Linked DNA regions of Mus musculus. The protein of the gene in region 2 interacts with the protein of the main gene of each other region in a pairwise test. Links are inferred from orthologs where the notes say so. Each region holds a gene or a part of one and is shown on either strand. Other genes may lie near its edges. The genes, in order: Tasor2, Card9, Tceanc, Cdca7l, Pak7, Meox2 and 9330159F19Rik.

Region 1 (3,802 bases), on a different chromosome or scaffold from region 2:
CAATATACAGTAAGTGATTTCTTTTTGATGAAACAGTATGTCACTGGAAGAAGAGAAACTGAACTAATTAGATTTCAAAATTAAAGACTAACCTAATGTTAAACTTTCTAGTATGACATCATCTGATACCACAAAGCCGCCTGATCGAAACAGCTCTTGGTAGGTTTCATTTACAATGTCTTCAGGGCTGTCCACTCCAGCAAAGACGACACTGGGGAAATGCTTTAGCTTCAGTAGAGAAGGAATCTGTTATGACATAAAGGGACTTCCATAAGGAAAGGCACATGCAGGCAACAATTAACATTCCCATGGATTTCAATGACCCTGAACAGCTGAAAATAAGGTATCTTCAGCCAAGATCACTAACCGACAACTTTGAAACAAAGAGTGGTTCTGACCTTCTCATTAGTGGCCATTTCTTCACCAAAATTAATTAAAAAGAGGACTTTAGAAATGGTTCATGAGAGAAGAACGTGACTGAAGTTCAGGGGACCTATAAATAGCTAGGTCATTCAAACTCACTCTGCTTCCAGCTTACCTGTGGTGCCAAACCCACAAGGCTCATGTCACTGCCTACTGACAATAGAAATATGTACCTATCCACTGTCCACAAAGTGCTTCTTGGGCAAACAACTATTTGTCAACCAGCAGGTAAACATTACAGAAGTCCTTTCAAAGCATGATTTTCTTACAGTCAGACATGAAGTACCTCTTTTCATAGTTCTCCCTCAGTTAACACACTATTAACCTGCCCTACAGAACCTGCATGATTCTATAGAGTTCCACCCTGTACTCTCAGGGATTATCTTCCCACTAAAGGATCAATGGAAGTCTGTCGGCTATACCTCTACACAGAATAGCAATGATGACTTATGATACTACAGAACAGTGTCAGTGCCTAGAACACAAAACTTACTTGATGCAAATGTGAAATGATGTCTTCATTTTTAATGATAACTAATAGTGTCTCATTTTCTCTGTGAAACGCTTGACAGAAATCCAGAAGTTCAATTTCTATATGGCCTCCTTTCTTTAGAATGCTCTGAAAAATTTACAAACAGCTGTTATTTAAAAAGGATACTTGTACAGAACTTTTTGTTTCTAGAGACAAAAAGTCTCTCTCTATAACCTTGGCTGCCCTGGAATGTACTATGTAGGCCAGGCTGGCCTCAAATTCAGAGATCCAGCTGTCTATGCCTCCAAGTGCTGGGATTAAAAGTATGTGCCACTATGCCCAGGTACAACTATTTTTATATATTAAAATCAAGCCACCAGCTGGGCATAGTGATGTATATATTTTTGGCACTTGGGAGACTGAGGAAGAATTATGAGTTCTAGGCCAGCCTCAGCTACTTAGGAACACATCTCAATACGAAGCAGACAAAAATATTTAACAATATGTTTAAAAAAAGGAAATCCTATTTCTAAGGTAGCGCAAATAGCTACTGGTCTTATTACTAAATAAACACACACATAATTATGAACTGGATTTCAGTTTTTTTTTTTTAAGATTTTTTAAAAATTTATTTTATGTATATAAGTACAGTGTGGCTGTATTCAGACACACCAGAAGAGGGCCCATTACATTACCATCAGACCCCATTACAGATGGTTGTGAGCCACCTCTCCAGCCCCCTGGATTTCTCTTTTTAGTTCAATTATTAGTGTTTTTGTGTATATATGTAAACGGATGCACACACACATGCCATGGACTGCATGTGGAGGTCAGGTGGTAACTTTCAGGATTTGGTTCTCTCCTACCACCTGGGTCCTGGGGCTCCAACTCAGGTTGTTAGGTGTGGTGTCCGGTCTCTTTTCTTACTGAGCCATCTCAGCAGCCCAAGCAAGAAGTTCATTTTAGTGATAAAAGCAGTTTATAAAATATCATAGGCTGCTTTAAAGAAAAAGTCCTTAGCCAGGCGTGGTGGCGCACGCCTTTAATCCCAGCACTCGGGAGGCAGAGGCAGGCGAATTTCTAAGTTTGAGGCCAGCCTGGTCTACAGAGTGAGTTCCAGGACAGCCAGGGGTATACAGAGAAACCCTGTCTAGAAAAACCAAAAAAAGAAAAAAAGAAAAAGAAGTCCAAAATAGTACGCATACATGAAGTTTCACATTCAAGGGAGTGAGACTGGACAGGTTTGCTAGGTGTTTACATAATGCTGTTACGTTTACTATATACCGAGAATTTTAGCAACATACCAGTAATGAGAACCAACTTGAAGAGTTAATTGTTCCTTGGCTGTCCATATCTGAATAAAAGGGTAATGCACTTTCCTTAGCCCCATCCTCCCTTACGCCTCTTATGTAATGCTTTTGCATGAAGGATTACGGCTTGCCATTGGACACCCCAACTATACTCCACGTGCAGTCAGAATGTTTATTGTCTTTGTGATGTATTACTTTGTCTGCTTTGGATCTCCCAAACAGGCAAACTGACTATTTTATTATCACGCAAAAGGGACAATATAATTTTTAATCAAGTTCTTTTAATAGTCTACTGAAATATTTAAGATTGATCTGTCACTGTTTGCAGATCCTCATCTTACAAACAGTCCTGCATCCCAACACTAAAGAATAGTTCACAACTTGCCAGAGTTATTCAGAATGTTTCCAAGTCTTATAGAACTCTGTGCTGTGAGAGTCAGGCTTCAAACCATCTGTAATTCTCCCATCTCAGTCAGCCAACTGCTACCACACCCAACACACATTGTGCTCTTGAACACATATAAATCTCAAGTTAATTTTAGTATGTGTTCATTTCTTCACTTGAAAATTGTACCTTTGTACAAACATGTTACTCTTTATTATAAACAGTGGGCTCATGGTGAAATATTTTCATTATTTTCAAACCATTCAAAAGCCGGTGGGCAGTTATGAGTTACTGGGTGGGTGCTGGGAACCAACTCCAGGCCCTCTGCAAGAATAGCCAAGTATAGCCGGGTGTGGTGGCGCACGCCTTTGATCCCAGCACTTGGGAGGCAGAGGCAGGCAGATTTCTGAGTTCGAGGCCAGCCTGGTCCACAGAGTGAGTTCCAGGACAGCCAGGACTGCACAGAGAAACCCTTTCTCGAAAAAAACCCCCCCAAAAAAAAAAAAACAAAAAAACAAAAAACAAAGCAAGGAAGCAAACAAAAAAAAGAATAGCCGAGTATTATAACTGCTGGGCCATCTGTACGATCCCTGCTAATACCTTTAAAAAAATATTAGTGAGTCCTTTCCTAGCATGGTTCTTTCATGTGTCTCCAAAGTCATCTCTTGACAGTAACCTATGTCCAGTGATGTTGACCAGCCTGTCATCCTTGCAAGCTGGGTTCTTGTCCCTTCTGTTCCCTCTGTTTTACATATTTTGTTTTTTGCTGCCTTGTTTTTGTCTGCATCACTAAGCCCTTTGTAGAATATATCTGAATTAGTATAAAAATTACTTTTCCCAAAATGTTACCATGACAGACATGCCTTCATTTCAGAATTTATTACCTACTTCCCTCCAGTGTATCATCAATGAAAAGGATATTTGGTGTGTGAGTTCTGTGTAAAAATGAATGTGGGCACCAAGGTTGGTATTCAGGTGTCTTCTATTGATCTCTACCATATTGATATAGGGTTTTCTACCTATCCCAGAGCTATTTGACTAGAATGGCTGGTCAGCAAGCCCCAGGAATTCACAAGTGTTTGGATCACAGACCACATACACAGCTTTTTGAATGAGTGCTGTGATCAGGCCTTCATATGCTGACTCACATTTTACTGCCTTTATGTGACATCATCAAAGTCCTGGAATATAATTTTTCTCTTAAAAAAAATT
Region 2 (3,413 bases):
AGAGGCCAGGATATGGGACATTAGTCTATGACTCACTTCTCACTTCGCTCACAGCAACAGCTTAGAGTTTGGCCAGCACTCTTCCCTGAATCCAACCCAAAATGAGAGAAAAGGGACAGCCCAGTTTAAGGGGACAGGACCATGTGGGAGATGAGTGTGAGGTCAGGTAGAGGTTGAAGGCCAGGGAAGGACCACTCTATGTCCACACTCACCTCCTGGGAGTTCCTGGGTGAACTGTCTTCCAAGTCAGAGCTCTGTGGCCACAGAAAAGGGAGTTGGTCAGTGGGCTGTAGGGGTTCCAAGCACCTGGGTATGGGGTGTGTAGGGCATGGTAAGAGCCCCATCCAGGCTCCATCCTCTAGGGAGGCCCTGCACATGTTTCTAGATATGCCCAGAATATGTCTTTCTTAACACTACACTCCAAGCCACCTGAAGGTTACTCCTTGGTCAAGGCTGCAGTCATTGGAGTGGTGTGGATAACCTTGAGTTACATCTGTGGCTGTCACTTCGCCATGAAGAGCTCTAATGAGGAAAACTGGGATTTAGGAAGGCCAGGCATTTTCCGAGGCCACAAGCAGGGCAGCAGTCATGGCAGGTTAGTGATAGGGCTGCTTCCAGGCTGATGGTTCCTCTTGGAATCCTGCCTTGACTTCACATCCTCCCCAGCTCTCTCACTGCCCAGCCCACCCTGGCGACAGCAGACACAGAGGCCTACCAGGATGAGCATGTCCAATTGCTGCTGCTTGAGTCTGCCCTCGGCGGCCAGTAATCGGCTCTCCGTCTGGAACAGCTGTAGCTGCAGCTCATCTGCCTTCTCACCCAGCTCTCGAACCAGCTTTCGAAGCTTATCTTTGTCCTGAAAGCTTTGGGTACACTGTGCATGCAGCTCTTCCCTGGAGGCCATAGCCTGTAGGAATAGCAGAGGGCACACCCTCAGCAAAGGACCTGGTTGATGCTCTTGGCTCTCATTTGGCAGTTCAGGTCCTGGCTGGACATCAACCACCCTGGTGTATGGCTGGAACTGCTGAACTGGAGGGATTCTCAAAGCAGTCAGGGCTCTCAGTGTACATGAACAAACCCTGGGCGGAGTTGGAAATGACCAGATTCTTAGCACTGGGGAGGCAGAAGTGGGATCAATAGTTTAAGGCCATCTTTGCACATATATTGAGTTGAAGGCAAGATTGGATTACATGAGACACTGTCTCAGACAACAAAACAAAACACTTCAGAGAAGCAGCCAAAAAAACCCGTGATTAATGCTCAGTAGTTCATAGGAAGCCCAACTGAGAAGTCCTACATCCCCAGCAGATAGCCAGTGGGTGTTTCTGTCCCACCTATGTGACATATTTTATAAATTCTGGATGCAGCTTGACATTAAAAAACAAAACAAAAACAAACAAACAAAAAAAAAAACAAACAAACCAGGATTCATGGCTGTTCTTAAATGAACACAAAGGTTTTTTTCTTTTGTTTCTTGGAAGACAGTTTCATTATCCCAAGGTGGCCTCCTATTTACTGTTAGCTGAGGTTGGCCTTGAATCTCTGACTCTCCTGTCTTTACCTCTAAATCCGGGGACCAGCATGCTGGGACTGCCATGTACTACCAAACATGGCTCAGCTGCTACCGCTTTTGTTATTGTTAGTGGTGGCTTTTTGAGACAGGGTCTCACATTGGACCCCAAACTGGCTTGGAATTCATGGTAAATCAGGCTGCCCTTAAATTCACAGTAATTATTTTGTCTCAACCTCCAACTGCTGGGATTGCAGGTGTGAGTTGCTACTACTGCCTCTGCCCGGGAGCCACCACAGGTTCTTGTACCAAATGCTCCCTACCCACAGCCTATGCACCTAGCAGCTTCCTCTCCCTACTGAAGTCTCCCACCTCCTTACCCCACCCCCACCCCCACCACAGGGACTGCTGTGTTCTCCTCCCGCATAAGCTCCTCCTTTGAATAAGGTAGACTTTGATGCATTTGTACAAGCAGTCCCGGGTTCTGTCTTCCAACACTGCCAAGTTACCCTGAGCATAAATAAAAAAAACAAAACAAAACAAAACACTTTGACTACTGCTCCAGTGTCTGCCGCACCAATACCCCAACACTCCTGGTTCTCCGTTTCTGAACACAAGTGTGGCACCTACCTGGTCCCTCTCAATGGAGACCTCCTCCATCTGCAGCAGGATAGCCTCGATACGGTCCTTGTACATCTTGGCATCCTTGCGCAAGGCCAGGCACTGCAGCTCGAACATCTCCTTTTCTTCCGTGCACTACAGGAAGCACCACTCAGCCTCACCCTCCCCTCCCTCCTCCTCCCCCTGGGCTGGACTCAGAGCAACAGCTCCAGGGCACACAAGGTCTGGGATAATGAGGAAGGCACTGGAGTTCCAGTCCAATCTAATCCAAGACTAACCTAGTCTAAGACCATGGCCTCAGCCACCATTGGTCACACTGTAAGCCCAAAGGGTGACACGGCACTACTGTGTACTGTACGAATTGACAGTGAGCCAGGTCCCAGACCCCACCATCCAGGATCCCAGTGGGCATTGCTTGTCTGCCCTGGTCTCTCACCCGGGCCCGGAGGGTCTCAGCCTGGCGGAGGTCCTTCCGTAGGGAGAAGATGGTGCTGACCTGCTTCTGGTGTTCCTGCAGTGCTTGACGCCAGTCCTCCTCCAGCACTTGAATGTATGGACTATTCCTGTCTAGCTTACCCTCCTGGAGGTGTCAGAAGGCAACAAGCCTGGCTGAGGAGGCCCACAATGGCACGGCCACTGCAGTTGTACCATCTGGTGTGCCCAGCTTCAAGCCCCTGCAGGCATGAGGCCTGATGTGCACTGGTGGGTCTCCCTACCTGCACAGAGACCTGCAGCTCCTGCACCCGGGCCTGCAGCAAGTCCTTTTCCTGCTGTAGTTCCCACAGCAGCTCCTGACTAGGCCGCTGCTCCATGGCGTGCCTGAGCTTCAGTGTGTGTTTGCGCTCCACCTTGCAGTCATCCTCGGCCTTCATGAGGCTGTGCCTGAGCCGGTCCACCTGTGGGTGGCCCAGTCAGCTGCAGCCTCCTCCAGGCCACCCCCTGCAGGTGGAGAAAGTGATTACCTCAAGCTGCAGGTCACGGTTCCGCATGAGTGCTGCGCCCTTCTCTTCACTCAGATGTGCCAGGCACATGGCCAGCTCATAGTTCTCGTCCTTGCAGCGCTTCAGCTCCGCACTGCTCAGCTCACACTCCTCCTTGAGCCGCTGCACCCGCTCCTGGTGCTTGCGCAGTAGGCTGTCCTTTACCCTCAGCTCCTTGATGAAGTCGTCCTTGGAGCTCAGAAGGGCCGTCAGGTCCTGAACCTTCTTCTGCAGCTTCATGACCTCTGTCATCAGCAGCTGCGTCAGGCCAGACTCCCCTGATGCATCTGGGGACCATGCGG
Region 3 (4,602 bases), on a different chromosome or scaffold from region 2:
CTAAGGCAGGATGTTTGTCAAGTCTAGACAACATGAGCTTTATAGTGAGACTTTGTCTTAAAAAAAAAAACATTAAAAAAGATTTAATATCTACATACCAGCTATTTTTCCAGGACAGGAGGCCAGCAAATACTTTCTGTAAAAGGACAGATAGGAAATACTTTAGACTTCTGGTGCAGGGACTATTTAACTCTATTACTTTTGCAGCAGAACAAACAGATAGCAAATACTGAATGGGGCTGGAGTGATGGTTAAGCAGTTGTGTACTGCTATCTTAGAGGAGCCAGGTTCAGTTTCCAGCACCTACACTGTGGGGCACTGGGCTATGCACAGACAGCCTGGTTTCCAGTTGAGGCTAGATGTTGAACCCCGGGACCCAGTGGTGGTAATTCCCACCTACATGGGATGGAAGGCGTTCCCTCGTGTCTCCTGGACCCTGGCTCCTGTCGAAGTTACTTTCCCCTCAACCCCCACAGGAGAAGCATGGCTAGTAGTCATGTAGACAATGTCCCAAGCTTCTGACCTTCAGGCTAAACTCCTCCCAGTTACCTAGCAATAGTAAAGATTACAGCAAACCATAAGAGGAGCTGTTTGGCTCCACCTCGCTCTCTTCCTCTTACTCCCCTTACTCTTCTCTCCTCTCCTCTCACTCTCTTACTCTTATTCTCTAGCCTTTCTTTTCTCTTTCCCCCTGCCTTTCTACAATAAAGCTCTAAAACCATAGACTGTCTCTGCTCATCAAGGCCCCCTACACTTACTCTCACCTGTGTGGGAACCTCTCTTCCTTCAGCCCTTACCTCTCTTCCTTCAGCCCTTGCTCCCATAACGCCGGGGCAACAGGGTGTTGTCCTGGGGGCCCTGGTTTCAGGGGCTGCCCCTTGTCCACCCCACCCCACCCCCTGTCAAGTGGGGTCAGTGGCTTAAATGCCCACCCGGGCTGAGTGGAAAGCTTCTGGCAGCCTTACGGCGTCTGCCTGCCCAGAGCATAGGAGGAACGCTGGCCGGGCTTGGGCTATCCTCCCTCCTGCCTCCTTCCCCTACATCCCCTTTAGTTCCCACCCTATACTGGGTAGTTCACAAGTGCTTATAACCCAGCTTTAGGAAAACCTGATGCCTTTGGCCTCCTGTAGGACTGGCACTCACATGCATATACCCACACATCTATATACAATTAAACCTAATAAGGCAGGCTGGAACTGGGAAGATGGCTCAGGTGGTAAACTGCTTGCTGTGCAATGAGGACCTGAGTCTTGATCCCCAGCATCTACATAAAAAGCCAGGCTTATGGTGCACACCTGTAATTCCAGCAACGGGAAGGGAGAGACAGGTCAGTCTTTGGAGTTCACTGGCCAGGCAGTCTAGCTGAACTGGTGAGCTTCAGGTTCAGTGTCAGACCCTGTCTCAAAAAAGGGAGGGGGGAGGACAGTAATTAAGGAAGACATCTAAGTTGATTAGCACAAATTATTTTTTAAAGTGTGTGTGTTGAGGGAGGGGGTCTGAAGATGAGGCTCAGTTCGTGGAGCACTTACCTAACATGCACAGGGCACTGAGTTTGCACCCTCCTCAAGCCCACCCCCCTCTATGCACACCTCATAAAGCCAGTGTGGTCAGAAAGAGGCCAGCCAGGGCTACAAGAGACTGTATTTCAAAAGAGAATGTGGGCAGTCTGTGTTTGGCCACAGGGTACTGTTTGAAAGCACCCTTTGTAGAGCAATGCTATCTCATATAAAGATTTCAAGCCACAAAGATATTTTTTAAATGTGTGATAGTATGTTAAAATTTGTTGGAATTAATTCTAGTTTTACTTAGCTAAAATATTTTTCCTTTAAAATGCAGTGGCAGAGTTCATACCCAGGGCCTTAGGCAGATTAAAGTATGTGCTCTACTACTGAGCTACACCTAAGCTTCGCCCCAATACTGTCCTTTCAAAATCTGATAAAAGGGTATTTTAATTCCTTTTTGTGTTAATTCTCAAAAACAAAAGTCTGCTGTGCTTTACACTCGAACACACTCCAATCCAGATCAGACACATTTCATGGCAGTTGTAGTTCATATATGAGTGTACATTTTACCATTTACCAGTGTGTGTATGAGTATGTATATGTGTGTGTGTGTACAATGTGTGTGCACATACAAAACCTTTTATAGTGACAGCAAGAGTCGGCCCTACCATGTGTTGCCTGAATGCATGCAGACGCCTGGGAATATGCAATTATAGGAAGGGCATACACACATCTGCACTAAAATCGTCCAAACGTGAAGAAAAAGCACAGGAAAGTTACTGTGAAATTTTCCAGAGGCTTAGGGAACAGACCAGCAGTCTTTAAATCTCTCTCAACATCCAGGAGGGGAAAAAAAGAGAAATTTTCTAGCTCCAGGCTAAACTTATCGGTCAAGCTTCAAGGCCCTGGCTCAGAAGGGAATGGACGGGCCATGGGGGGCTGGGGGGCTAGGACACGAGACGCTGGCGGGGCGTTGTTTTTAGGCAGCCACGTTAGGATCCCGGGGGAAGGGACAGGGAGAGGAACCGGCCCGCCCAGAGAGATTCCTGTGGGTGGGGTTGACTACTAAACAAAGCCTGCAGAAATCCACCCCGGGGGACGGCCCTGAGGCCGTACAGCCATGGCGGCGCGCCTTCCGGCCCGCTCCAATGACAGCACCTAAAGGGAGGAGGAAATCAACCTTCGAGCAGCCTGGGCACGGGGAGCACCAGAGCGCCCCTGCGAGCCGGGATTGCCTTCCACTGGACCCGGGAGTTAGCCCTTCCGCGGGGGCCGAGGTAACGGAAATGGCGGAACGCCGCCATCGGAGATGCTCGGTCACTGCCCTAGCGGCCGCAGCACCGCCCGCCCAGAAGCGCAGGCGCCGCCCTCCAGTGGGCGGTGCCGCCTCCTCCTGGAGGGAACTTCCGTTTCTTGGGGCCGGACGACAGAGCCTGCACCAGTCCTAAGGTTCCGGCGAGCCAACGTGGGCGTGGGATTGGACGCTAAGGTGCTTTGGACTTGGCGCCTGCGCAGAGCGGCCGCGGGCCTCGCAGAGTGGTCCCTTGAGAGAGGAGCTAAGGCCCGAAGTGAAACTAACCCGGCTGCTGCGTTTCAGTGGCAACGTTTGTTGATGCGCTTACTCTTTTTAGTTTCCGTCAAACCAGTAAAACAGATGGGACAAAAATAAAAACAGGCTGGCTGTGGTGATGGACCCCAGTAGGCAAAGGCTGAAGACTAAAGTACAGAGACCGGAGGATCCCGAGTTCGAGGACAGCCTGGGGCAAAACTAAACAGGCTGGACCCGGTACTCGCCTTCCTAAATAAATAAAAATAAACAAATGTAAAACCCTCCATAAGAACAATCAAATAAAATATAAATGGCTAACAGTGATGGTCTGTAATAATAAATGGTTGGGTTTTTTTTTTTAAATCAATATAAAAATGGCTAAACCTGGTGGCATATAATACTAGCGCTCCAGAGGCAGAGATGGGAGAAGGTCCATAAGTTTCTGACCAGCTAGGGTTACATAGTAAGACTCTCTCAACTAACAAACCAGGCAGCAAAAAGGCAAGCCATAATTACTGTCATGCCTAACAGTAATTAGTCCAACAAGCATATAACATGCATCACAAGAATGAAAGGAAGTAGTAACCATTCAGTAATTAGTTACAAGAAACCTGAGTGTATGTGTGAACATGGTCTGCCTTCAAGGATTAAAACCACAGTGATAATTGAACTAGAAAATGTGGCAGACTCCTTTGACCTCCAATGCCAAAACAATTCAGGAAAAGATTTAAGGAAGCAACCCCTCAGTGTTGTGTACTGGATCTGTTCATAGCAGGGATACAGCAGGGTGATCTGGTCATGAATGTAAGAGATTTTACCTCAGCAGAGGGAGGACAAGGAACTCACACTGATCAGGATAAGGGATGCCTGATTATTTTTCTGTTTTGAACGGTTAGTATTAGGGTATGATTACAAAGCAATCTTGGTTTGGGTTTGGTTTGGTTTAAACACAAGATTCTCACACTGTAGTCTAGCCTGGTCTACAACTATGTAGTCCAGGCTGTCCTCAAACTAGGATAATCTTCTTGCTCTCCAAGTGCTGATACTATGGGTGTGTATCACTAGGCCCAGTCTAGAAGTTTTTGGTTTTTTTTTGTTTTTTTTTTTTTTTGTTTTTTGCTATGGTTTATCACTCTGAAAGTAACACCATTTGGTGTTGAAGTTCTCGGAAATAATTGATTTACAAAACTGCAAGGTCTTGCTTGTCAACTTGACACACCTGGAAAGAAGGAGTCTCAATTGAAAAATTGTACACATCTGTGTGGCATTTTTCTCTATTTCTAATTAATGTAGGCGGGCTCAGCCCTCTGTGGGAAGGCCATATTATCCTTAGTACTTAGGCCTGGGCTGTATACAAAAGGGTAGTTGATGTGTACTTGGGAGCAAGGCAGTAAGTAGCATTCCTCCATGGTTCCTGCTTCCAGTTCCTGCCCTGAGTTCCTTCAATTATGGACTGTAGCCTGTCAGATGAAATAAATCCTTTCCTCCCTGAGTTGTATTTGACCACTGTGTTTATCCCAGCAACAGAAACCAAGCTAGGCTCTAACCCAA
Region 4 (3,802 bases), on a different chromosome or scaffold from region 2:
GGACAGAAGGCGAGATGTCAGATTTTGAATGCCAGTGTGTTGGAGGTTACCAGTGATGCACACTTTCCTGAAGATGTCACTTACAAGCACTTTATCATAGACTTTATCACGCACAGTTATGGCAATGTTTTCCAAGTCTTCCTCAGTGATGTCTTTCACTGAGCGGAAAGAAGATATCCGATGACGTCTATACGTCTGGCATTTCCCCTGAAGAAAAAAACAAAATAAAACAGGAGTACCTGTCACACATCTACACACTGAAAATCAGAATGAAAATCTTAAACGTGCTTAGAGATGCAAAGTCTAATGAGTGTCCTTTGTCTGTATGGTCATTTACTGGGTTCCTGCCCCAACCCACACTCCCTTGGGAGAGCAATACTGCATTGATGGAGGAGCTATAAACTTGGAGAAGACAAGGAAGTAAACAGCCTGCCCACATAGGGGGCAGCCCCCAAGTTCCTCCCTCTTCCCCAACAGCCACTCCTGAAGCAGACAAGGAGAAACTCTTGCATCTTTCAGAGTACACAACCACAAAGCTGGCTTGGCTTTGCTGGTAGAGTTGGATCAAAGCCAGGGCCTCCTGCATGCTGGGCAAGTCCCTGAGTCCCCCAAGCTCCTCAGGCTCATTTTAGACAAAGGACTCTTAAGTTATCTGCAGCTTAGCCAGCCCAAGGGTCTTCTCAACCCATGCTCTCACAGGAACATGGTGGAAACTCAAGTTTTCAACTGCTGGAAGCCTGCTGACTCAAGACTACACCAGAGCCAGCCCTAGCATAATGAAATACTTGCACTTGAGGCCCGTTTGCTTATTAGTCAGTAATTACCCCACTGATTGTCTTTCTTCTTCTGAAACTGTAAAGCTCTTCAGTAAGCTTGGTGGCTGAGAAGGTGAAGTTCTCCAGAGCAAACTTTTCAGGGGGTCGTGCACTCCGGGTTGGGTTCATGCGCCGTGTGATCTGTCCCTCTGAGAAGGCCCGTCGTGGTGTTCGCCTCCTCTAAAACCAAGAACACAGACATATGTAACTAGGTTCCCCTTAAACAGAAAGCTATGGGTTCTCAGAAGCAGGGCCAGTCTAAGAAACCAAGAGTTTCACTTACAGAAGCCGAAGGTGGTGTCCGAACAGGGAAGAAATCTGGCACCGAATTCAATTCCGCCAACAACTGAGCAAGCTAAGGTTCAGAAAGAAAGGGGGGGGGGGGTCTGACATCAGTCAAGGAGACAGTTCTGGGGCCAACACCTCTTAAATCTCTCTGAACTACCTATATAGCGTCCATAAATCTGTCTCATGTAAGACTTCACCTCCTGAGTAAGAGGAGGACACCATTCATTGTTCATCCAAGTCAACATCATACCCCTTCCTTATATACAGAAACAATAGAACACAACGAAGATATGTTTGTCTTGACACGTTTGGGGCCAGGAGCATCAGGTCCCAACTTCACCACTATCATAGCAGTGTGACCTGAAGCACATTTTACAAACCTTAAAATCAAACCCAGCATGTCCAATCAGCTGGGTGACCCTCAGAACTCCCAGATCAACCAAAACACTTGCTGGGGCTTAAGTCATGGTACATGCTGTAGTCTGAGCACCAGGATGCAGAGGCAAGAGGATTAGGATCAAGACAAGTCTGGTCTCCCTGCATCTATACCTCAAAAATTCCTACCTTCAGACATCTGTCACTATCGCCAAAGACCTAACACCAACCAACCAGGCTCTTTCCTCTGGATTTTCTTTTTAGATTCATGTAAACGTGAGACCACTAAGAACAAACACATACAGATAAACACAAACAGACAAGAGTGTTCTCTTAGGTGTAGGTCTGTGTATAAAGTATCACTATATTGTGCATTTTTTTAAAGGATGGCATTTAAAAAGCCACCAAAGAGGAGGAAAGAATTTATGACTGGTAGAATTTCTTTTTAATTTTGCCAGTGTAAAATTAGGAAGAATTACTTTCAATAACTGGGCTGAGGTTACTGTCCACACATAGAAAACCCAAATACATGTAACAAAGGTTGCTCTAGATTGTGCTAGGCTGAACTAACCACTAGCCAAGGCATAACTGAATTAGAACATGGCAGCGGCTGCTTCAATGGTAGCCATCTCTCATTCCTTCAGATGATGTCTCTGAAGGAACGGCTTTCAGACAGAAGCCACCACCTGCCCACCGTAATTCTCCCTGGGCTCAATGACAGCCCAGCTCCTCTTTTCTGCTGGGGACAGTGCAGCTGGTCAGCTTATCTATTCTCCAGTGCCTCTGCCAACTTAAACTTAGCCTGCTCAACCATGCACAGCAGGGATAAACGGTTCTTGAGTCTTTCCATCCCCAAACCAGAGCTAATCGTGTAACAAATGTGCCCAGGATATACTTTCTCTCCAGAGAGCAAAGCTGTGTCAGCAACCCTTGGGGCAGCTGGCTATGGTCCCAGCTGCTGCTGCAAGAGCATACCATAGCCTTGTTCTCTTTGATGTTCATGGCCCTTTTCAGCAGAGCATCCGAATTCTCTTGGCTCTCAGCTCTGGACTCATCCTCGGCATCAGAAGCAGAGTCCTCCTTTCCCTTGGGCTGTCTGGAGCTCTTCTTTCTTCTAAGATCCGTCTTACTGTCCAGCAAGTGTGAGCTATCTTTATCTGGTGTTCTTGCCAATTTTTTGGTGGGGAACTGAAAGGCTACCCGAAGACCGAAACTGCTTCTTCTTGTGGACCTGCCCCTTCTAGGTGCAGCCTCCTCTTCATCATCTTCCTCCGCATCATTCATCACAGGGTATGCTTTGTCACTGTCACTCAGCTCCGACTCCATGAGCTAAGGGACAAGGAGAAAGAAGGATAAAAACGATCTGTACCAACACTAGACCAGGCAACTGTGTTTAAAACTGTTCTAGGTGGGAATGCAGGTCAGAATTTGCTTCACCACACGTTCCTTCCTCACCAGATTCGGAGCAACAGAGCCAACGGATGATACATGGAAACCTCCAAGCTGTGAGTCACACACAGTGAACCCTGGTATTCTGTTCTAGTGATGGAAAGCTCATTAATACAATCTGTCCTCAATGCATTCTCTAACCAAATCTGAGTGGGCCTACGCTGAATTGTGTGTGTGTGTGTTGCAGTATATAGAATCTAAGGGGCTTTGGGAGCAATTTATTTTCCTTCACTAGAAACAAAAACTCCTTAACTAGGTATCACTGAGCTTAAAAACTACTAGTAGTTAAAGAAGTCACCCAGACATGAAACCCATCAAGTCTTGGAAGATCTTAGTGTCTTGCTGATGACAATCTAAGACATCTGAGAAAAAACACTGGGCACAGTGGGATGTCTGAGCAGGAGCATCGGCCCAGGCAGAGTGGGTGAGACAGCTGACTACGAGGACTTACATGCCCCAAGAGATGCCTGAGGAAAGGTGAGGGATAGGGAAAGCCATCATCACTACCAACTGGCCCTATGCAGGTATGTGTCCAAGGTTGTATAAAAGCTAATGACATCAAACAGCATAAACTAAACTCACCTTACCAGCAAAGGAAGTGGTAGTATCTACTTTCAGATAAATATTCTATTTTCCAGTTAGCATTAAACAGTTAACCTCTTTTAAAACATCTGCCTCATGGTATTTTTTTGAATCAGTTAAAAATATAAATTTAAAAAATTATAAAGAAACACTTAATGCATGTGATGCTTGGGACAGAAAGGGCACATTAACGAAAACATTGATAAACTCCTCTTTGTTTTGTTTTTGTTTCTGTTTTTGGAGACAGAGTTTCTCTGTATAGCCCTGGCTGTCCTGGAACTCACTTTATAGAC
Region 5 (4,410 bases), about 110 Mb from region 2:
ATGTTGTAGGTGTTGTTGATGATGATGTGTTTTGACTTAGTAATATAGCCCAAAAGGGAGAAGACGTATGAAATTCCTCAGCACGTATAGAAAGCCTAAGTCCCACTTTGTTTCAGTTTTCATGTAAGTGACTCATGGTGACGTGTCTATCACCCTTCCCTTCACTGTCACACTTGGGAACACAAAATTCAGATAAGTTAGTTACATTAAATATCCCATGCCAGCAGGGTTTTTGAACCCATACTATTCTTCATATTCTGAAACTTGATGGCATAGTATTGATCCTATCATTGTTATTAGAAAAGTTAGTAAAGTAAGTTAAATTTTCTCTCCCCTAAACTCAATGACAACCCTGAACTTGTCCATGTGACCTACTTTACAAGTCTGATCTTTGCAGTTGTAATTGAATTAAGACAAGGCTATAGTTAGCTCTAAATGATATAGGAACAGTGTCCTTACATAAAGACTGAAACATGGACAGGAGAACAGACACAGAGAGGAGAACACATGGACATGAAGGTAGAAACAGAATAACGTGATTGGGGTAAGGTATGTCTAAGACTATAAGAATCACCTTCTCCTAAGAGCATCAGAGGATTGCCATGCTAACACTGAGATATTAGACAGAAAATACCCAGATCTGCATCAATAAATTTCTACTTCTTTAAGCTACCAAGTTGGGGGTGTATGGCTATGTCAGTGCTAAGAAATAAAACAATTTGGAGTATTTCAGTAAAAGTAAATTGAATTTGACTTGCATAGCAAATACATATAACATGGGTTCCAAACACATACATGTCCTTCTCAAAGAGATTTCCCCATGCCCAGTTTCTTTGTATTATTATTAATGTCTACATCTATCCATTTATGTGGGCTTTGCTTTGTGAATCACAAGTCTTTGTTGCTGATACATTAAATCACTTCCACAAAATCCCACACCTAAATACGGAGGAACCAGAGTTCAAATTTAGCTTTATCTCATCACTAAAATGACACTGTATTCCAGAACATCTGTCTCTGGTGCCTGTCCATTGCAGCATATTCTGAGGATGTAGGAAAGGCATTGGCAACCTCGGCTTTCAATGCCTACAATCAAAACTCACGTTTGTTAATTAAATGATAAGTTGCAAGGACTGAGTACAATCAATCTCTTATTCACAGAGGAACACGAAGTTTATTCTACTACAAGTATTGTCAATGAACTTGCCATTAGCTTCTACAGCTTTCATTAGAAGTTCTGCTTTGCACACGTGTATTCAAAGTCAAGGTGTTATCAGATTGGACACTTATAGCTTTACTCTACTTAAATTCATTTCCCTCCTGCAGTCTCTGTTTCATTATCACAATACTGACTCATTCTTGCCACCTAAGGAGATCATAAGAATAAATAGTGTAAGTGCAGAGGAAAGTATCTAAACTTCATATTCACAGACAGATGCCCAGCCTGAAAAGATAAAACAGGGGATGAAGGTGTGTTCTAAATTTACCTTTCCTCCCTCTCAGGGGGCTATGCTGCTAATCATAACAGATACAACTGTAAGGTGTCACATCTGTTGTTGCAGAATGTCAACTTTAAGAAGGCTTGTGTAGGAGGGACTTCTTCAGGGAGTAATGTGTCCATCTGTAAATTAAAGATGCTGCCTTTACACCAAATGCCACAAGAGGGTCTCTGATGTTTTGTGAAGTACCTATTTCCCCAGAAGTGTATCCAGTTTTCCAAGTCGTTATCAATTATTGGCCAAGACATTTTTTTCTTTACTACTCTAATATTTAAAAGATCTGTTCAGTTCTTTGAAAGGTTAGGGCTCCCTTAATTGAGATATGAATGCTGGCAAATTAACTTCTACCCTATCACAATGGAAAGCTCCAGACACACTCGGTTTCAAAACGGATGCTCACATTTGTGCCCTAAACTGGACACTTGACAGTCCTGAGACTTTCCAAGTTTATCCTCTAGGAGACTGACATTGTACAGAATTTTAACCAGAGTTTGGAAGTGATATTCTCTTCCACATTCTGTCCACCAATGTTCACAAGCAGAAGTTCTTTCCCAATCCATTGCAACCCACTAAGCGAACAGAGACAAACAACAAAGGAAAACACAGTCCCATAAAGGTTCCGCTATTGCATCTGGTGGTCCACACCTGCTAAAAGACAAAAACCATATGGGAACCCTGCCCTGGCAATGCATCCAGCACTCCCTGGGAGCAGCAGGCACTGTCGTATCACCGGCAGGGCGTGCGCGAGTGCATACACAAAGAACTGCTGCTGGGCTTGCTAGCCTTTCGGGGTACCAGCAGACTCCTAGAGCTGGCATCCAGGGTGATCTCCTACGCCCTCCATCCTAGCATAAGAGCGCTATCCTTTATTTGACCGGTGAAGAGCCCAAGCTGGATGATATCGCAAAGATTGGGGGTTGGGGAGTGGGCGGACCCTGGATCCCTTGCCCATTCTCAGAGGTCCCCAGCCTTTGGCATCTCCTAGGAGATGCACAATCAATTGTGCTGTCATAGAGGTCTCCTTTCGCATCCTCTCTAGGCAAAGCCAGATGCCCGGTGTAGCAACCGTGCGCATCTTGGCAAGCGCCCCTTCTGGAGCCGCTACCCATAAGCCGACCTGCCCGGTGCTCCTGCCTACCTGGTGGCTGGCTGTCAGCAGAGAAGTCGCGGTACCTCATCTGCTTCTCCGCTGCTGCTACATCTGTTATATCGCTCCAAGCGCCATGTTCCTGCTCTCCACGGGCGCACGCCAGGGAACTACTACGGCTGGGAAGGGGCAAGGGGGGCGGGGGCTAGAGGAGGGGGTGGGGGCAGAGTCAAAGCTTTTTACTCTCCTCCCAAACCTCTCCCAGCTACTGAGCATGCCCAAGCCGCCTGGCTTCGCCCCTAGGAGGACTGTCCGCTGAGACCACTCAGCTGCTCCGGGTTTTAGGAGCAGCCCGCTGTAGGAAAGCTGTAGCAATTGAGGGGGGTGAAAGGGGGAGTGTGGAGGGAGTGTCTGCACGCCCGAGCTGGAGAAAACAGCCAATCGGATCACACTTTCCTTCTACCATCCCCCTGCGGGCTACTCCCGCATACCCCTCCCTGAACATCCCAGTTTGTCCAAATTTTCTATAGGACCTTTGCAAAGCCGCACTACATCAGTATGCTAGCTAGTCTCTTTAGCATCACCTGGTCCTGTGCTTCGCAAACTTTAATGAGCCTTTGATTTAAAATACAGATTTGGATTCAACTGCCTGGTCCTGAAAGTCCCCGTGCCATTCGGCTGGTCCTCTGAAAGGTCAGGAGGTGCAAGAATCCAGAAACATCTTCTATAACCTCTAATTGGTCATGGAGTCTTTAATCAGCAATGGACTTATCAGCCTAAGGAGTTACCTTCAGCTTTTGATGATAGCAGCGGTTCAAGGGAGGATGTCCCCTGGGATGTCATGCCTTTCCTGGAAAGAGGCTTTGTAGGGCACACACTGAAGACAGCATAAAACCATTAGTTTGATCTAGAATTAGGAGTTTCGGAGACGATGGGCTCTTGGATCAATTCACAATCGCTTTGATACTTGAGACTAGGAAACTCGTGCTCAGTCAGTTGACCTGTTGTTGACCTGTTGTCCAATTCAAGCCTGAACCAGTCTATCCTGACTGTCTACCTGTCTTCTCTGAGCCTGGGACAAAACCTGAGAGGTTCGATGTAATGTCAAGGCTGGGCTTGACAGTTGAGACTGACTGGTCTTTTGAGAGCAAAAGACCACAGGAGGTATCGGTAATATTGAGATTAGTCACTGCCCACATGAAACCAATCAATTCACAAAACCAACCAAGAGACTTTAATCTTGGTTTTGAGAGAGCCACATCCTTCTTCATCCTCAGAGATCTCTAGATTGTCCTTATGAGAATATAGTGTCTGATCCTATAACTGAATAAGTCGGTTATAAAACAGGGCCAGTTTGCTAGTGAATAGTAGATGCTTATCATCTCCTGTCCCCGTGGCTTATCTGTTCACACACTACTTTCACTGAAGTAACTTATATATCAAAACAGAATCATGGCAGGAGCTGGTGCTAAAGATATTGCCACAGCTGTTAAGAACTCATGTTGCCCATCCAGAGGTCCCAGGTTCAGTTGTATAGGGTGGGTCCGAGCTGTACGTGACTCTGACTCCAGTGGATCTCACACACTCCTCTGGTATCAGTGGTGCCTTTTTCCACCTGGTACACAAAGAAGCATCCAGACACATATATACACATAAAAATAAATCTTTAAAAAATAGATCACAGAACAGATAGATGGTCACTGTTCTCCACTGATGTTTCTAAGTGTGAAGGACATATGTATCTTGGCCTATCAAATCCTATTTTTCCCATTCATATGACTAAAGTCAATAAATTTATCAATGCTTGAAACTGCTCAAATAGCC
Region 6 (4,593 bases), on a different chromosome or scaffold from region 2:
AGGTTCTTTTTTTTTTTTTTTCCCCTAACGAAGTCTGCAAAACTAATTTCCCTCAAAATAGGGCTCAATTTCCGTTAAAGAAAGCAGTGCTTACAAATCTTGGAATTCCTGATCAACCCCCACTCCACCCCATCTCTAAGTTGTGCAAAACAATTCGACTTTTCACACGGATGTTAAAGTTTGTTTGGAAGTTCCTTTTCTGGAGAACCTCTTAAAATAAAGGGTAACAGACTGAAGATGGCAGAAGGAGCGGCAGAGAGAAGGGTTCTGCCTTGGGGACATTCCTCCAAAATTCATCAATACCTTTTCCTAATTTAAACCAGATGTCTAGTTCAGGTTGCTGTACTCATTAATCCCATTAGCAATTTCAAAGACTTGGCCATCATCTTCTGGTCACCCAGACAATAAACATATGGCAGTTAACCATAGTGGCACACTCCAAGTCCTGAACACCCTAGGCTACTGCAGACATCCCCTTGGCAGACACTTCCTAGATAGGAACAGGCTTTCCTGCAGCCCACTCTCCCAAGCTTGTTGTGGGTTAAGGACAGGACTTCCAGTAGATTCTGTGGCCGCCCAAGCTAATTGCTGTGTCAACCCCAGCCCCTGCTCTCACAAATTCACTGGTGGCAAGGTGTGCAGTTAGTTCATTTCCAGGAGCACAGGCTGTAAACCTGGGGGAAATGAACCATGATAGCAGGGTCCACGCTGAGGGAATGTTAAGTTTGCTATCTGCTTAAAACAGAAAGGTGGTGAGGAATGGAATGTATGCAAGGAGCATTAGCTCTGTGAGCTAAAGAGAGATTTCATTTCTCAAAGGATGGGAGCGGGCTGTGAATTGGCTCCTGCAGGGTTAAGCTAGCTAGGAAGGGTGAAGCTGGGAGCAAGTTAGACTTGCTCATTTGACATTTTTTCGGGTTATTCTTGACCCCCCCCCTCCCAATTTCCTCGGTGAGCAAATGGTGAGAAAATTTCGCGAACTGGACTGGTAAAGAGAAGTAGGGGTGGGAAGAGGGTCAGAAAAAGAAGGAAGGGGGACACCACTTGGAGCAACACTTGTGTGTCGCCAAGGCGCCAGAGCCTACATCCACCTCTGTGTCGCGCACACCCCATTGTATATCTGTCCTTTCTGCACTCAGAGTAGCACTGTGCTAGCCTTGGTGCACAGCTCTACAACCTCCGCCCTGGCTCTAGGTTTTCTAACAATCTATTCTCAGATACCTAAAAGAGAATAAACCTAATGTGTTTACGCTGGAACCGTGAGTGGCCTCTGAGTTTGAAAAGCTCGACAGACTAGGCTCTTCTTCTCTTGAAAGTTCTCTTGAAAGTTCTCTGTGGTCTGCAAAGTCAGGGAGTAGTCAGGGAGCTCCTGCAGGTGACCCCAACCCCCACCAAGGCTGAGAGATCTAGGTTCCAAGAGCAGTGAGCTACTCAGAGACACTGTGTGCTGGCTTAGGGAAGCTGAGTGCCTCTGCGTCTGGCCATGGGAACCTATGGGACAGATTGCGGTGGCCCGGAGCGACTGAGGCTCTGGGAGCACCACTAGCTGTGGTGGAAGCTCCCAGGGCCCGACGGGCGGGCGTTGGGCAGCGGCTCCTGTCCTGCCAGCAATGGGAACTGGAAATGAGAGAGCACGGTGGCGCTGACTGAGCGGGAGTTTTGGAGGGAGTTTGCATGTGGTCAGCGCTGGGCTCCTAAGCCAGCCCCCAGCTCACATTACACTCTATTTATAACCTCTCAGAGCCATTTCCCCCTGAAAGCAGTTCTCTGGGACCACCTTCTTTTGGCTTCCACCTCTCCCACACTTGACATCTGAGCAGCTGCGAAGGAAGCTCCTCCAGGTCCTAGTGTTTATACGTGCAGGAGACTGGCCGCTAAGGCTCAGGACTGGGATTAGCCGGCTCTGCTCAAATGCAAACGCGCGCGGCTTTTACTTTTGGAGTGAGTGGGGGAAAGTCTTAGGATTTCCAGTGAAAAGTGACAGCGCTTGGTGGACATTCGGACCGTCCGTGAAGTCTTCTGCTTGGAAGCCGAAACTTGCATGCCATGGAACACCCCCTCTTTGGCTGCCTGCGCAGCCCCCACGCCACAGCGCAAGGCTTGCACCCCTTCTCCCAGTCTTCTCTGGCCCTCCATGGAAGATCTGACCACATGTCCTACCCCGAACTCTCCACATCTTCCTCGTCTTGCATAATCGCGGGATACCCCAACGAGGAGGGCATGTTTGCCAGCCAGCATCACAGGGGGCACCACCACCACCACCACCATCACCATCACCACCACCAGCAGCAGCAGCACCAGGCTCTGCAAAGCAACTGGCACCTCCCGCAGATGTCCTCTCCACCAAGCGCGGCCCGGCACAGCCTGTGCCTGCAGCCTGATTCGGGAGGGCCCCCGGAGCTGGGAAGCAGCCCTCCGGTCCTGTGTTCCAACTCATCTAGCCTGGGCTCCAGCACCCCTACCGGGGCCGCGTGCGCACCAGGGGATTATGGCCGTCAAGCGCTGTCACCCGCAGACGTAGAGAAGAGAAGTGGCAGCAAAAGGAAAAGCGACAGCTCAGGTGAGTGCGGGCAAAGCAACCCTGGGGAGAGTGCGCTCTGGGCTAGGAAGATGCGGGGAGGTGTGGGATGTTTCTCATAGAAAGACAAACTGTGAAGCTGCTAGCCTTTCCTCGCTCTGGTGGGCGAGTTCATCCATGGAGCGTCCGTCCTGTAATTCAGGAGCACGTGTTTCACTGAAGTTAATATATCTACATCCAGCCGTTCAAAGCCCTCCAAGATCGCAAATCAGTTTTCCAGAAGTGGTGAAGAAAGAGCAAGTGACACTATGCAAAATCGGTTAAGGGAGCGTGGCGGGTCCCTCCACGGGTTGGGAGGGGTGTGCCCATTGGGATGCTGCATCCGCTGGGCATGCATGCCTGCGTGCGTGTGTGCGTGCATGCGGGTTTCCTTGACTTTTCCCTTCCAATTCCCAACTCTGAACAACTCGACTTTTCCTATCCTTAACTGGGTTTCCAAATTATTGCGCAATGCCTTGAACTTTAACTGGATTTGACCAAATACGAGAAAAAGAAAAGGAAAGAAAAGAAAAGAAAAGAAAAGAAAAGAAGAGGAGGAAAAGAAAAAAGGAAGAAAACGGAAAAGGAAAGAAAAAGATAAGGAAAAATTAAAGAAAGAAAAAGAACAGAAACCTAAAACTTTTTTTTTAATATTTTTGCTTTCAGAGTTCCTTAAATAGCACCTTTCTTAAAATGATATTTAAAAAACAAACAACCCCTCCCCAAACATTCTATTTATTTGGCGAAAAAGTAATTATCTAGTAATCTAGAAGTGTTTAAGGAATACCTCTGAAAACTTTGAATAAAGAGTATTCTTATAGTAATTACACTCATATGGTGCTAACCTGGTTTGGGGGGGGGGGGGGGACGGGGACGGGAAACAAGCAAAAAGTCCAAATCAACCAACCAACCAAAACAAAATGTTTGAACTTCGACTGTGGAAAATAAAAGCCTTCATCAATTGAGTAGTGCTTTGAGATGCAGTGGAGAAAGTGGACAGATAACAGTCCTGACAGTGCTGGAAGAAGATGCAGGGAAGGTGTGGGTAACTTGAGCAGTCCTACAAAAGGGGAGCCTCCCAGAAGAATTCAGGGGCCTGGAAGTCCAATAGCCAGTGCATCCTGACAGCACAGAGAAACTAAAAATTTCCAGGAAACACAACAAAGCCCTTAAATACATTCCTCATTGTAAATGTTCTCTCTCTCTCTCTCTCTCTCTCTCTCTCTCTCTCTCTCTCTCTCTCTCTCTCCTTCCTTCCTTCCTTCCTTCCTTCTTTCCTTTCTTTCTTTCCTTCTTTTTTTCTTTATTGAATCTTCTATGTAGTTACAAGGCAACCTGGATACAGATTTAGAAAGACGTCACTTAACTAGTAAAATGTTTACATATATTACGTTTTCTGTGCTAGTGTCTCGAGAGAACATATAATTCTAGGCAATAGTTTGAAGAATTGAAAAATAATAGCATTTTAAACATTTTAGGCAAGGTGTTCTGCAGTGTAGGGCAGTAAGGGCTGTGTATTTTGTAATGTGTTGAAAGATGATAGAAATTTTTCTTGACCTCGGTGTGGGGTGACTCCTTGCTTCCCAGCCTCACTATTGAACCTGTAATTTTTCAGGTCCTGGGTGAACGATTAATGATGCTTCATCATGATTAGTTATGTCTAAGAACTCGGTCATCGCTGTTATTCTGTTTACTGGTTATCTCTAACTGTATGTGAAATCCTAAGATACCAAAAAGGTTCCTAAGAAGGCATCAGAACGCACTGGGTTTCCCCAGATTGGGCATTTATGAGCAGAAATGCATGGATTGCTTTGGCAGGTTGCTATCTACTTCAGGGAGGACCAGAAGCTCGGATTCCGTGTTTTCTTTCCGCAAGGGGGAAACTGCGCTGCTTCTTAGCTGAACCAATGCCCTAAAGATTATTTGCGCACACGAAGGAATTTTTTTTTTTTTTCAGGCACAAGTTATTTTTGGTTGGGGAAACAGGGAGAGTGAGACTAAAAACTGACTTCCTTAGTTTATTTTAACAAAAATGG
Region 7 (3,802 bases), on a different chromosome or scaffold from region 2:
TTGGTCCAGTTATTCCTGTAGCCTTTTGAGTTTTGCAGTGCAGACCTTGTCTCTGTCTCATAGGTTTTCAGCAGCTTTTCCACAACACCGTAATTTGATCTGGGATCCGCTGATCTTGGCCGGCTAGAAAAATTGCTTGATCTCCAATCATGCTCATGGAGCATAAGCTGATAGCTGCTGGGGCTCTCACGTGTCTGCGTTTGATTGACCAGGTCTGCCGAGTATATTTTTTCGGGATCACTGAACACATTTTCCATGGGCACAGACACATTGTCACTAGCTTTCAGAACACTGGTCCCACTGTCAACTTCTGATAGGTAAGCTTTCTGAGCAGTGGAGATATCACAGGAATTGAGATTGTCAGGCGATTTTGTATAGATGTCACTTTGCTGTATTGCTTGACAACTTCTGTCTGTTCTAAAAACAGTTCTGTTAAACTCGTCAATCTTTGCAGCCAGCTTTTCATTCCTTGGAGTTGGTTCACAATTGCAGTCGTAAATTCTAACTGGGTCCCTCTGTGTCACTGAGGGAAGAAAGTCATTTTTCACATGAAGATCAAGATGCAATTTCGTAGGGTTATCTGGAAATACCTTTTCAAATTTTGCTCCACTGGAGGTAAAACTGGTTTTTTGAGACGGCCTGGAAGGGCTCTCTCTTGTACCTAATATAGTGTCACATGACCACAAATTAAGTCCAGTGTCTTTGTTACCTGGAAGATTTCTATCTATTTTGACTTCTGGTGTCCAAGAGGAAAACATGGTACTATCTTTCAAACTCTTGCCTTCTTGTGGAAACAACGGAGACTGCCTCAAGAGGAAATGAGGATTGTTATCTGTTTTGTCTTGAATCTCATGGGCCACCCACCTGTGGTATAAATGTTCCTTCAGTCTTTCTTGGGCTTGTTCAGAATATGAGCTGGGGAGATTTCGAGAGGTACTTCTTGGAGGGGGAGTTGGCGGAGTTTCGCCTCTTTGTAAACCAGTTGTACCAATTCCACAGTTGTTCATAGAATTGCTTTGGAGTCCATAGGCACAGCTCAGATTCTTTTTCTGCATTTCTTTCTCCAAATTGGTTGGAAGAATGCCCTGACCTTTGCTGATCAAGTGGTCCTGAGGAGGCACAGGGATTGCCTTTGGCATTTCCTGGAGAACAGGATCTGATTTCATCCTAAACATAAGTCAAGGTGCATTAGTGACAATTTTCTTTTCAAAATGAGCTTTGTGATATGTGATATATAAGTAATGCTATGTGATATATAAGTGATGCTGTATAGAAATACTACGATATATAGGTGATGTGGTTATGTAACACACACACACACACACACACACACACACACACACACATTCTAAATCCACTTACTGCAAGTCCTCCTTATTGTAGGATAAAGTTGTCAGTGTTACATTCATGGATCTAACCCAAATTTTATTCACCAAATTTTATCATCCCTCATTTTCCCTATAATCTGAAAGTTATGCTAGACTCAAACTAGACAATGTAGTCCTTGAGTTTCTGCTCTTGACATTCCCATTTCTAGGCTTTCTTCTGCTATATAGCTTTTCTTCCCCTTTCCCTATGCAACTTCTATTCCCTACTCATAATTTCTCTTTAGACTTTCTCCTTGGGATATAAATAACATTATCATGAGTTCTAGGTAACTCCAAATGCAATGTGCATTTGAACTTTAAAGGAAAATAAGATTATATTTTAGTAACCAAAGAAATGAGCTCTGATAAAGTGTGCCTACTGAGCAAAGAAAGTGATAATGAATGACACAGAAATACTAGACTGCAGCAAATCTTAGAACAGTCTCTTTAAATCACACATTGAGGCTCTGAAATGCTTTCTGGAGGCCATAGGGATGACTGTGAACACTTTACATTTCAATGTTTTTGGCTTTTTTTTTTTTTTGGAGAATTTCAAACAACATAATTTGCTCATATTCTTTGATCTTCCCTCAACTCCCCTCCCAGATCTTCCCTATCTCCCTACTCACCCAACTTCATGTTCTGTTTTCACCATGAGAACTTTGAACTAATTTGATTTGTAAATGAAAGATATCAAGTCTCTGTATAAAACACAAACAGAGCAACAATATGGACTAACAAATCAGAAAATCACATAAGTAAAATAAGTCATACTGTACAACTTATAAAAAGCTTCTATGACAACTTATAATGATGTACAATAAGCACATGCCAACAAATGACAACAGGAAGGCTCAATGGGCAGAGAGGGGGCAGTGCCCAGTGGCTAACAAACTCTACTGCAAGTCAGCACAGAAATTCGCGATTTCCAGACAGCTAAATAATAATAAGGAACCTCACTCTAAGAGAATATCAGATTTCTCAATGAGCTAATTATTGATAAAGAATAATACATATTTAGTATGCACATAATTCTAAATTATTATTTTTTTAACTTAGCTAGAATTTAGTTTAAGCTTTCATAGTGATTCTGACCTAATACAAGAGATTGGGCCATGTAGACATATAATGTGTTATTTTGAAATGTACATTTGCTTATGTCATATCCACATCACTGTTGAGAAATAAATGACCCAGCTTTAAAGTGCTTAAATAGAACATCTCAAATTGTTCAAACACCACATTGTTAAAGCTGTCACAGTTTAAGCCAATTTAACTGGGTTTGTCTATTTGTATATTCCCCCTCTGGTCAAAACTCTGATGGAGAAAGAACTTCAGTAGAGGATACACAGTCATTTTGTACAGACTGTCTACTTTGCCTAAACACTGAAAGAATACAATACACTATTCCTTATTTTTGTTTTTTTTTCTTTTTCAAGACAGTGTTTCTCTGTATAGTCCTGGCTGTCCCGAAACTCACTTTGTAGACCAGGCTGGCCTCGTACTCAGAAATCCGCCTGCCTCTGCCTCCCGAGTGCTGGGATTAAAGGCGTGCGCCACCGCACCGGCTCAATACAATATTCCTAATACTTAAGTTATGAAAAGTACTGGAAGATGACTTTTAAGGATCATGAGCTAAGATATACATGATGAGTCAGTGTAAATTCATAAAATAAAACCAGAATTCTTTTCTATTCTCTGGTCTACAGAGATCATATGTGTTAGCCAGCCTACCTTCTGTGGTTAGAATGCTTTTGGATTTCCTCTTGAAAGGTGCACAATTCTTCACTAACTTTTGCAAGTTCTTCAAGAGCCTTCATAGCATAGCACATAAAAGAGAGCTTTTGTTAGCGTGCTGAAATGCTTCTTTAGAAATAGCTCCCGGCTGACCCCATCTTACTTACTGTGTTAAGGGCGACAGAAAAATCTTTGCTCTCCTTAGAAGTGTTCTCACCAGCCCAGGTCTCACATGCCTTCCTGTCTGTGGCCAAAGGATTCCAAAACTCCACTTTGGTTTCTGTGTGTATGTTTTGTTTTGGAGACCCTTGACTTTCTTCCCCAAGGAAATTCCTTTCTGTTTTCTTTTCCTTTTCTGGATCATCTCGGTAATTCAGCACTCTTAATTTGCATTGTGCCGAGTTGAGGTGATTTGGGGGAAATTCCATTTTATCTTGATCACGGCAAAGATCAATGACCTTAGAATATTCATTCATGTTCATCTTCCTCTGAAGCTTTACTTCCTGGCAAAGCTGTAAAAATTAAAAATTAAAAACTTATTTTTCCTAATTTACTTGAGCAATGAATTCTCTTAAAGGCATTCTCACTTTGTAGCCCTGGGTAGCATAGAACAAATTCTGAAGTCCAGAGTGGCTTCAAACTCTTAAAGATCTACCTGCCTGTGTGACTTGGAAATAAAGCTGTGTGCCAGTATTCGC

The links.
Region 1: the proteins of Card9 (region 2) and Tasor2 interact in binary tests that used the Homo sapiens proteins (3 or more experiments, as listed by UniProt). The two-hybrid records come from large-scale screens. The link is inferred for Mus musculus from reciprocal best matches to the Homo sapiens genes CARD9 and TASOR2.
Region 3: the proteins of Card9 (region 2) and Tceanc interact in binary tests that used the Homo sapiens proteins (3 or more experiments, as listed by UniProt). The two-hybrid records come from large-scale screens. The link is inferred for Mus musculus from reciprocal best matches to the Homo sapiens genes CARD9 and TCEANC.
Region 4: the proteins of Card9 (region 2) and Cdca7l interact in binary tests that used the Homo sapiens proteins (3 or more experiments, as listed by UniProt). The link is inferred for Mus musculus from reciprocal best matches to the Homo sapiens genes CARD9 and CDCA7L.
Region 5: the proteins of Card9 (region 2) and Pak7 interact in binary tests that used the Homo sapiens proteins (3 or more experiments, as listed by UniProt). The two-hybrid records come from large-scale screens. The link is inferred for Mus musculus from reciprocal best matches to the Homo sapiens genes CARD9 and PAK5.
Region 6: the proteins of Card9 (region 2) and Meox2 interact in binary tests that used the Homo sapiens proteins (3 or more experiments, as listed by UniProt). The two-hybrid records come from large-scale screens. The link is inferred for Mus musculus from reciprocal best matches to the Homo sapiens genes CARD9 and MEOX2.
Region 7: the proteins of Card9 (region 2) and 9330159F19Rik interact in a two-hybrid assay, tested with the Homo sapiens proteins (2 studies listed by BioGRID and IntAct). The two-hybrid records come from large-scale screens. The link is inferred for Mus musculus from reciprocal best matches to the Homo sapiens genes CARD9 and KIAA0408.

Annotation. Positions count from the first base shown.
Region 1 is NC_000079.6:3,569,396-3,573,197, forward strand, and holds part of Tasor2 (protein TASOR 2), read right to left. Parts: intron 1,043-3,802; coding exon 917-1,042; intron 247-916; coding exon 93-246; intron 1-92.
Region 2 is NC_000068.7:26,354,618-26,358,030, forward strand, and holds part of Card9 (caspase recruitment domain-containing protein 9), read right to left. Parts: exon of another isoform or gene 3,399-3,413; coding exon 3,094-3,398; intron 3,028-3,093; coding exon 2,848-3,027; intron 2,712-2,847; coding exon 2,568-2,711; intron 2,267-2,567; coding exon 2,141-2,266; intron 908-2,140; coding exon 716-907; intron 307-715; coding exon of another isoform or gene 280-306; exon of another isoform or gene 255-279; coding exon 213-254; intron 1-212. UniProt on the Homo sapiens protein: Adapter protein that plays a key role in innate immune response against fungi by forming signaling complexes downstream of C-type lectin receptors.
Region 3 is NC_000086.7:166,507,611-166,512,212, forward strand, and holds the start of Tceanc (transcription elongation factor A N-terminal and central domain-containing protein), read right to left. Parts: upstream 2,869-4,602; 5' UTR 2,683-2,868; exon of another isoform or gene 1,530-2,682; intron 1,397-1,529; 5' UTR 1,296-1,396; intron 137-1,295; 5' UTR 99-136; intron 1-98.
Region 4 is NC_000078.6:117,871,089-117,874,890, reverse strand, and holds part of Cdca7l (cell division cycle-associated 7-like protein), read right to left. Parts: intron 2,808-3,802; coding exon 2,454-2,807; intron 1,171-2,453; coding exon 1,099-1,170; intron 996-1,098; coding exon 825-995; intron 208-824; coding exon 85-207; intron 1-84. UniProt on the Homo sapiens protein: Plays a role in transcriptional regulation as a repressor that inhibits monoamine oxidase A (MAOA) activity and gene expression by binding to the promoter.
Region 5 is NC_000068.7:136,385,017-136,389,426, forward strand, and holds the start of Pak7 (serine/threonine-protein kinase PAK 5), read right to left. Parts: upstream 2,952-4,410; 5' UTR 2,678-2,951; coding exon of another isoform or gene 2,638-2,677; intron 1-2,637.
Region 6 is NC_000078.6:37,106,785-37,111,377, forward strand, and holds the start of Meox2 (homeobox protein MOX-2), read left to right. Parts: upstream 1-1,755; 5' UTR 1,756-2,046; coding exon 2,047-2,560; intron 2,561-4,593. UniProt on the Homo sapiens protein: Mesodermal transcription factor that plays a key role in somitogenesis and somitogenesis and limb muscle differentiation. Required during limb development for normal appendicular muscle formation and for the normal regulation of myogenic genes.
Region 7 is NC_000076.6:29,221,600-29,225,401, reverse strand, and holds part of 9330159F19Rik (uncharacterized protein KIAA0408 homolog), read right to left. Parts: intron 3,617-3,802; coding exon 3,272-3,616; intron 3,182-3,271; coding exon 3,102-3,181; intron 1,168-3,101; coding exon 1-1,167.